Linked DNA regions of Drosophila melanogaster. The gene in region 1 interacts genetically with each later gene. Each region holds a gene or a part of one and is shown on either strand. Other genes may lie near its edges. The genes, in order: G9a and sba.

What was found.
Region 2: of G9a (region 1) and sba, changing one enhances a phenotype caused by changing the other (phenotypic enhancement), as found in Drosophila melanogaster (one study listed by BioGRID).

Annotation. Positions count from the first base shown.
Region 1 is NC_004354.4:244,184-249,160, forward strand, and holds the start of G9a (G9a), read left to right. Parts: upstream 1-1,794; 5' UTR 1,795-2,666; coding exon 2,667-3,413; intron 3,414-4,198; coding exon 4,199-4,977. Other genes in the region: CG3038 (uncharacterized protein), read right to left, coding at 256-1,163, 1,229-1,487.
Region 2 is NT_033777.3:23,919,733-23,924,680, reverse strand, and holds the start of sba (six-banded), read left to right. Parts: upstream 1-1,707; 5' UTR 1,708-1,785; intron 1,786-2,900; exon of another isoform or gene 2,901-3,163; intron 3,164-3,834; 5' UTR 3,835-3,880; coding exon 3,881-4,674; intron 4,675-4,948. Other genes in the region: Ndc1 (nuclear division cycle 1), read right to left, coding at 1-137; CG31141 (uncharacterized protein), read right to left, coding at 483-1,028, 1,088-1,303. UniProt on the Drosophila melanogaster protein: Non-catalytic component of the polycomb repressive deubiquitinase (PR-DUB) complex, a complex that specifically mediates deubiquitination of histone H2A monoubiquitinated at 'Lys-119' (H2AK118ub1). Important for maintaining stability of the PR-DUB complex.

The DNA.
Region 1 (4,977 bases):
TCCTATTATTTTTCATTTAATTTTCCGACTGTTACTATGGCAACCGAAATTATATATAATTAAAAAACTGGTGTATAGTAATTCATGTAAAGTCGATTTCTGGCAAACATTTATTGTAATGCATATATATATATATGCAAGGATGAGTATCATATCCCTTTTCCAATATTTGTCTCTTCCTTCATCACCCCCTTTTAAAAAGTCCTTACATGATAGTTGCTAAAGGATGAAAAGCCATTTGTCCTTGAACCGATGTCACCTGAGTCGCAACGCTTTTATTTCAGGAAAACCATGTTTAGGGGGTCGAGATTTGGCCGCCGCTAAACAGGTCTCTTTGAGCGACTTACCAACCGGCCGTTTGACGCATTCATCAAAGTAGCACTTCTCAACGTTATGCAGAAATTCCACCAGTAGTCGGTCGTCACCGCCATTGGGTCCCACGGAGTACTCGCACTCATAGTTGTGCTTCTTGAGATCTCGCACACAGCAGTCGATGAACTCTGCATTGGCAGAAAACCAGTCGTTGTGACGCTCAAGGGGAATACCCAAACGAGTCCTTACTACTCCAGTCAACCAGGTGTCATCGATCCAAAAAAATGACATCCTCTCCGCCTCCGCCACAATCCTCTCGGCTGTTGGCACGTTGGTCACGTAAAGCCAGCCCGACAAATAGGCGGGATATAAAGCCTGAGGATACTCCTTTTTGCTAACGTACCACTTATTGGCTCGAAGGCGAATGGGGGGCTTGGCATCCAGTACGTAGCCAGATAACAAAGTACTTGATGTGGCCAGTCCAGGTTCGCGCACCTCGAGGGTCTCTAAATACCTGCGCAGATGAAACACATCGTAAATGATGTCATCATCCAGTTTAATGATAAACTTGGCCTGCTTTTTGCACTCCTCAGAGACCCACTTTAATCCCATTACGTGTTTGTAGCTCAGATTGCGATAGTCCTCGATGAAATTCCCCTGGAGAAGGTCCCCGAAACGATTCTGTTCGCTGGCCAGTTGATCCTGGCTTATAAAATGCTCTCTTGAAGGCAGGGCTGCCAAGAGAAAAACTCTTCGCAGGCCCATTTCTTCCAGTTTGCTTTGGGGAATTGCCTGTCGGTGAGCTGATCGCAAGGCATCGTGTCCGGCATACGAAGTAACTATTAAAACGGCTAATCGGGAATTACAAAAATGATTAAGGATTCCTTACAATGGTTGATTAAAGCAAAGAACTTACCTAAGAGTTCTCTTTTTGCCTTTCGACACACATTACTGGCCAGCAAGTAGTGGAAGTCCGTGAGATTCAGAAGATTACTTAACGGAGTATTAGGGTTAGATGGATTCCTCTTCGTTTCGAGTGGTAAGTGCAGCAAGAAACCGTTTTTGCGGGACTGGCTTGAATCCCTCAAGTGATTCGAAAAGTAACAGAGACTCAGTAGGACGATCAAAAGAAGCGACAAAATAATCGGAAGCAATCTTCGTCCGCGCATGCGCATTTTTCTTACATTCTACGTGGGATTCCCCTCGCACTATGCCGTCTGTAAGTATATGTGGCTTGGTCTATCTTGCTAAACTTTAATAAACACAATGCCTAAAACGATTATATATTAAGAAAAAAATAAATTGAGATGCGTTAATAACAATTGTTTTCACGCCTTTGCCAGTGCTGCCCTATCAAATTAGCGATAGCTAAATTGGGAACCGTGTCACCCTATTTTCTTTTAGCGATTACACATTCCAAGCAGCGTTGCCATGTCCGATAAACATCGATTTTTGTGCCATGCCAGCTCTAGTTGTTGTGTTGTTGCTGTTCTTTACGGATAACAGTTTTCAGCGCGAAGTGCGTGCGTGTGCGTGCGTCAAAAACGCAGTTCTGTATGTGTGTTCGTGTGCTTTTCTTATATTTTTCTAAAGTAATGTTATTGAACTGGTTGCCTATGTAAAGAGAAAGCCACGAAAACTACAAGCATTTGTAAATTCGTTGAAAAATTTGCAGCTTACCAATTCCAAAATCTCAAAACAGTGACTGCAACACCAACAAAAACGCAGTAGCAGCGACGTCGGCAGAGAAACAACAAGAACAACAATCTTGGCGTTGAAGCGATGTGAGAGAGTGTAATATTTGACAGCATGTGAGCTAATCAGCAAAGCAGCGATTTCTGCAAACATTTTGAGCTTCTTAAGGGCAATTAATGAACGAAAAAGTGGAAAACTATAGTAAATATATAGTAAGAAATATAGTGAGAAATTTTGTATTTTTACGTTTTGTTCTCTAGAAATTAAAAAAAAGAGAGGATACAAAAAATTTAGCTGTGACCACCAAGAAACGCAGTCGACTTCGCTGCCGGCAGAACGAAGAAAAAGAAAGAGCATAATATAAAGCAGAAAAACCAGATTTTAATGTCTAAATTTTAAAGATTAAATGTTTTATTTTGCCTTATGTTTGCCCATTTATACTCAAAAATATCGGTGTCAAAATAGTTGCAAATTCAGAACAGCAAAGCAACAACAAAGGCTGCTGCTTGTACGACCGATGCACAAATCTTGTCGGGAAAAATAGGGTTCTGAAAGCGAAATTATGTTTTTATTGGCTTAAAGATGGAAAATTGACTCCTGAAATCGAAAATCAAAGAAACTAATACGCAAAGTAATCAAATAGTGACAATTAAGGCAAGATGACGGACTTTGTTGAGCTGATGAACAGCATGTCCAGTACATTCAATAGCGACTGTGCTACTTCAACAGCGGAGGGTGGTACTTTGCTAAATCTGAACTTGGCGGAAGACAAAACCCTCAAGTGGCGTAATTTGGCCAATAACCAGTTCGCTAGTAAAGAAAAGAAGCACAAGGACAAGGAGGAGGAGGAGCGCAAGGAGGCAAGGAATCAAGAGGAAATCGAAGACATCAAAGCACTTTTGGCAGATGTTGTCGATGCGGCCGCTGTCAAGCTGGAAGAAGAAGAAGCGCAGAATGCAGAAAAAGTCGAACCACATACAAAATGCGAAATAGAGGAAGAAGGTAGGAAGGAAATGGAGTACGATCAAGATGTCGCAAAACAAGACTCCGAAATGGAAAAAAAGCAGAATGGCAAAGCAACATCCATAACAGTAAAGATGGAAAGCAACGAGCGTGCAGAGAAACACGCAACGGAAATTGCAACGACGTCGACAGAGAGATGGGAAAACGAAAGCTTTAAAACTGAGCAGCAAAATAAAAAAGCTGCTGAGAAAGAAGAAGAACCCATACTAGCAGCAACACAAAAATTGGAAGCAAATGCAGAACCACTGACAACAACAAGAATTGAGGTAGCAGTAGCATCTCCACTTGTTGTTAGTTCTGCTAGCGTTAAACTCGCTGCTGACGCAACCAACCAAATGCGAGCAGCGACGTCGGCAGGAGCAGCGACATTAGCTGATAAAAATGTAAGTAAATGTGTGTGTGTTTGTGTGTATCAGCTTCGAAATTCTTGCTTTTTCTTTTATATTTTAATTTATTTAGATGTTAGCCCTTGACTGCTGAGTTCTTTTCTTTCTAGTGTTTCACGTGTAGTTTAAATCAAATACATACGTAGTTATGATTGATGTACACATATTTATATACATAAATATCCTAATGTATGGCATTGTTTTGGTTCATACCAATCATAAAAAAGGTTAGGGATTTATTTCATTTCTCTACTTTTTGTATGTCATACAAATTAAAGACGTATTATGTTGGAGAAGTTACTATTTGTTAATTCATTTAGAAGTTAGCCCTTGACTGCTGAGTTCTTTTCTTTCTAGTGTTTCACGTGTAGTTTTAATCAAATACATACGTACATATGATTGATGTACGCATATTTATATACATAAATATTCTAATGTATGTCATTGTTTTTGTTCAGCTGTTTGTTTAATATGGTTAGGTCATAAAAAGGTTAGATTACAATTGTTAGTTTGTCATAATTCCAGAGGGATTTGAATACAAGAAAGACTTGAAGTAATTGCATCCAATTTTAAGAGGGTTAAGCCATCCATTCATTCATCCTCTTGGTCAACAGACCTCTTATGTTTGGTAGAAACAGTTGTCTAGGCAACCGATGAAGGCATTTGAAGCTTTCTTTGAGGACTGGTACTTCTAGTTAGTATGTCTCTATATTATATAATATATAATATTATCCTGAGTACTTCTTTAGTCGGCACATTCAATGAGTCTCTGTACTTTGCAGGTACAAGTTTCGCCCGGTGGAACGCGACGGTCTCGAAGAACACCCAGACCCATAGACACGCCCACTTCAGTTACTGATGAACATGTTCAGGTGGAGAATAAAAAATTTGGAAAGTCGGAGCAGTATACGGATTGTAGTAGCCATCTGGAGAGGTTCACACTGGACGATAATACTGCTATTGTCAGACTGCAGTTGAAAAGTGAACCGGACAAACCGTCATTAACTGCATTATCTCCTGAGGAAAACTCGGCTCCTGCTCCGAAGCGAGGAAGGGGTCGAGCCAGGAAAATAAGACCCGATGCCGAGGTGGAAACCAGTGAGGTTATTTTACCCTGCGAGGATTCATTAGGGGAGAAGAAACCAGGACGCAAAAGGAAACTCCCGGATGAACCGATAGATCAGCAGCAACTAAGCGACCTTGTCGTGGTAAAAACAGAGCAGGAGGAATTGGGTGACGCTCCCTTGGGAGATGTTAAGAGAATGCGACGTAGCGTTCGTTTAGGCAATCGATTACACGCCGATGGAAGCCCTTGGGAGGAGGTAAAGACAGAGGCACTTCACCCGCAGCCTTCTGCAGAACTTTCCTTTGCGGAGGTCACTTCTGAGATCTTGCCACTAGCTGTCTTAGATGAGAAGACCCCACCCAAAAAGCGAGGGCGGAAGGCAAAAACGCCCTGTGTGAAGTTAGAATCTGAAACATCCTGCGGGCTACCGTTTGCTAATGGCAACAAGAAAACGAATTCCTCTGGTGGATGCGAACTTCAGCTGCCCAAGCGTTC
Region 2 (4,948 bases), on another chromosome or scaffold:
TGCAACAGTTGGAAGTTCACAAACAGCAGGAACACTGTGAGCAGCAGGAATTGGATGGCCACGCTGAGGAGCACGGCGCGCAGGCAGCGGCCGAGCAGCAAGAGCTTGCAAGCGTTGCTGGAGGAGCTAGCAGACATGTTTGCGCTCCGAACTGCTAGACCATCGAGGTATCACCAATAATTTGATTTAATTCTATAGTTTTCTAATTGATTTCGCGACTAATTGCAAATATTCGACGGTTGCCGACAACGCGCGCGTTGTTGCACTTTTAAGTGTGACCGCATGCGGAAAGTGGAGCTGCCCGTAATCGATAACTCATTTGATGTTCGTAGTGAGAAACCCTAATGGAAAACGGTTTTTTGAAATTTATCTTTTTAATTACAAAGCACAATTTTGTAAATCTAGAAAGTTCACCATTAAAATGGCTCATAAAAACGTATGACTAAATTAGTATATCTTCAATTTTCGACCTAATTTAAGTTTTAGTTCTCCTTATGCTTCGGTCTCAGGTAGCACTGGAAATAAAAGTTGGCGAACATGATAAACATGATGGTCGCGGAGCAGCTGACCAGAAAGAGGGTTCCCTGCGATGCAGTGCACTGCCGCTGCATGGCGGTTAAGGCGCAATGGCCAAACATGAGGAGGAACTGCAGCATTTGCATGAGGGTCAAGTACCGCTTCCAACGCACCGTATTGCCCTTGATGGCCGAATAGTAATAGGCATACATGAAGATATGAACGAATACATTGAAGGAGCACAGGAAGAAGAGTTGACCTCCGTAGCCATAGAATCGTATTATCAAGTATCCGGCGGATGGCATCAGGACGTGGTGGAAAACGTGCAAAAACGTTATTTGCGAGTACTTCTTGCGCAGCACGCAGAACACGGTGTCAAGCAGGTCAACGATCTTGTTTATGTAGTAAGCATAGCTGATGCAGCGCTCCCAGTTCTTCAGCGGATGATCCTGCTGCAGGACAGTCATGCAGCGAAAGTTGTACGGTTGGAATACCAACATGAAGTAGTATCCCTACGGAAGAAGCTTTTATCAATTGAAGAAAAGAATGTAGGCTCAAAATTTCAACTCACGGGCAGGAGCATCATTATATTGTAGAATATCTGGAACATGTTATAGTACTTAAGCACTTTTCGCAGATTATAAGGTTCTCGATGCTCCATGAACTTCCTGCCGGCCTTAAAAACTACCAGAAGGTATCCAATGAGGATAATTATGATGGGACCGGGTCCAGTTGCCAACGGCAGCTGTTTGGAGTCCGCATAGGGCGTCCTAAATATTTCCAACATTTCTGTTACCTAATTATTGTGTACTTTTCAATTTGACAAATAAAACAACTGATGAACCGCCTTGCTGTCACGTGTTTTCTAATGAAAGCCTAAAAATATTGTATGCTTACTTCTTAATTGAGTAATTTCCCTAGGCAAGTTAGATTGATTTGTGTGCAATACCAAATTAAATAAACTTAAATAAATTTAATTGCCACTGTTATTTGGAAACAGCCTTGCCATACCGTTGGCTGATCGATAAGTCCGATATCGATTCTAGAATCGATGATATAATCTGGCATCACCGAACTATCGATTGCTCAGGTCGTAGCTTTGGCATTTTACAGACGTCCGCCTTCGGTCACATCACATTTTGTTGTTGTCGCGGTCGGAAAAGTGCACGGAGTTACGGTCGTCGATTCGTCGATTTTCCGTTAAATACAGCATACAAATTCCAAAACAAATGTGCGCACTCGCCGCCGCCGCAAACGCAGCGCAATAAGGTGTGTAATGTGTCCAATTGGCCGCAAATGAAAGTGAATAAAAGTCATAAAATTCGTGAAGTTGAAATAAAAAAAAAAATATAAATTTTGTGTGCGCGTTTGCCAATGAGAGTGAGAGAGCAGGCCAGAAAGAGAGAATGAGAGCGAGCCATAATATTGCGTGAATCGAATCGAGCGACACAAAATTGTTGTAATTAATTCATATTTAATTGGCATTTGGCGTAATCCGAGTCTGTGCATAATAAAGCCCAAAGCGAAGTGCAGTCGTCAGTTGGTTGTCGTGTGTTTGTTGTGTGTCTCTTGTAGCGTAATGCGTATTGAGGTCACTTTGTACATATTATAGCAGCAGTAAACCGCAGCATAGGCACGCGTATCGTACATGTGCCTGTGTGTGTGTGTGTGTGTGCGATTGCCCAATACCCATACCAGTGCACCGAGATAGCCACCAATGTTCGTTTTCATCCCACTGCCCAAGGCGAACAGCTGCTCTACCCCCTCCCCCTCCTCTGCCCCTTACGCTCTGCTCTCGTGTTGTTTGTGTTGTCGCTGATCGCCGGAGCAGAACCGCAGGGCAGGTGGTGGCTATTGCCCACTGTGCCGTATTGTCCACCGTGCAGCAGAGGCAAACAAACAAACAAACGAACGGGCACGCATTAATTATACTACTTAAAATATGGTCTGCAAATTGTGCTAATCTTAACAACGCAGCGGAGAGCGAATGAGTGAGACAGAGAGGGAAAGGGAGATGGGAGGTGGTGTGGGTGATGCCTCCCCCTCGCGCGCTCTCTCCTTTCCTCTCGCTCACTGCCTTCGGTGTCTTCACTTCATGCTCCATTCACCTACTTTTACGCGCTCTGCGCTCTCTGCTCACCACTTTTCACTCGATTCGCCACTGCTGACGTTCGTTTTCTGAATTCCAAATGAAGTCATGAGATTGTACACCAAAAGAAATAATCAAAACAAACACTATTAAGCACTTAAGGGCTAATGATAGCACCTTTCTATGAGCGTAGCATTACGTTACCTTGATAAAGAGCACCTTTCTGTGGTCAAATGTTGTGCCACGTAAATTAATTAAAATATTTAAAATATATGCAAAAATTTTAAACATACAGATATTTTCCTACCCGTGTACAAACAACACAATACGCATCTAAACGCAAACGTCGTTGTCGCATTATTACAGCTACAAAAGAAGCAGAGAGTGGAATACAAAATAATATCATTGCAAAAAAAAAGTGAAATTAAGTGTTTTAAACAAAAGGAAAAGAAACCATAAAAAAAACATGAACATGACATGGCCGCGTCTCGTTTACACAATAACTCAAAATTAATTTAATATGCTGGCAAATGAGCAAAGCGAAAAGCAAGCTAAAAGGTGAGCGAATAGCAGAATAAGGGGCAGAAACTTAACAACGCATAAATAACAAAAGGTGCGGCCTACGATTTGTCGTTTATACGATCGTCCAGTTAGCAGTATCTATTTAAGTGCGACTTTGGGTTTACAACCTTGTGGTTTTTCCCCTTCTTGCCGCCTTGCTGTTGCTTGTGCGTGAGATGGCGGATAAACCAGATTTAGTCCACTTCCACGTTCATTACACGCGCAGCGCATAAACCCTGATTGGCCCTCAATTCGGCTACTTTGTAAGTGGTCAACTTGTGGAGCAAAACAAAGGCCGCAACGCAATTCCATTCGATTAAAGTCAATGAGTCAACCGAAAACGTAGAAACAAAGACATGAAGACCTCCACTGTAAATAACAATAGGTTAATTGTTTAAATGCAGAGTCATGTCTGAAGAGAACGGATTTTCCAAAAAATTTTTGAATATTTGAACGCATTTATGATATTAAAAGTTTTTGCTATACAATTGGAAGCAAGCCCTTAATTAATGGGTTTATAAGAATGTGTATGGGGAATTAATTAGAGTGTGATAGAGGTTATAATGCTTATAATTCTTATTTGAATAATACTCAATGTAAATGATTATTCTCTGAATGTTCTAGTCTTGGCTGTGACTAATCCGGGAATTCCCTTGAATTCTTTGCAGGCTTTGAATTGCGAAGGAGTTCTCCTGAACGGCTGCTTTTATCGCCATGGCCGCCGCATCTGCTGGCCAGCAACAGCAGCAACATCAGCACCAGCACAAGCTGAACATAGCTGGGAGTGCTGAGACGGTGGTCAGCGGGATGCAACATCAGCAGCAACATCAGCAGCAGCATCAACAGATCAATATGTTCAAGCAGCAGCAGCAAATGTTGCCTCTGCAGCAGCAACATCATCAGTTTTTCCAGCAGCAACAAACGAAATTTGTATCGCGGGTCGTTACAAGTGCAGCGGTGCATCAGCAGCAGCAGCAACATCATCATCAGCAGCAGCAGCAGCAGCAACACCAGCAACAGCAACAGATATTACCAGCTGGCTTGGTAAACGGCAATGGCAGCGGCAACATGATGCAAGTAGCAAATCTGCATCTGCAGCAGCAACAGCAGCAGCGAAACAGTCAGCAGCACATATTTGTCTGCCCCACCAGCAACCAGCAGCTCCTTTTGCAACAGCAGCAGCAACAGCAGCAGCAGCAACAACAGCAACAAACCAAACAGCGCCAGGCGCAAATAAAGTTGCCAATAAAGTCAGCGGCAACAACGGGAGTAACGGCAGCAACTGTTGCTGCTGCAACTGCTGCTACTGGGGCAACGCATTGCATGTCGACAACAATTGCGGCGCGTCAAATGAGTCAGAACAATCAGCTCTATGCCAAGAATGTTGCCAAAGCCAACAATGCCAGTAGCAATGGCAATATCAACAGGAAGACGGCCACTAGCTACAATGGAAATTTGGCCCCCGGCTGGCGTCGCTTGACCAACAACAATGAGGTGGCCTATATCAGGTGAGTAGTCGGTTGGATAGTATCTGGGTACATCTGTGGCCACAGGATATCTCCCAGGTTGAGCATTGCTTGTTGGCTCCGTCGCTGTGCTGTGTTGTACTGACATGACACTTACAGCACGTTTGGCCGGGCCGGGCCGGGCTAAAAGTCAATCTGGTTATTGTCTGGCGAACGCAAACGCATTCGAGAAGCCATAAAAATGTTCAGCGATCCCCTCGCGCTACAGGAAATGCCACTGTCCATGGGGGTTAGCGGGGTCAGAGCCGTCAGAAGT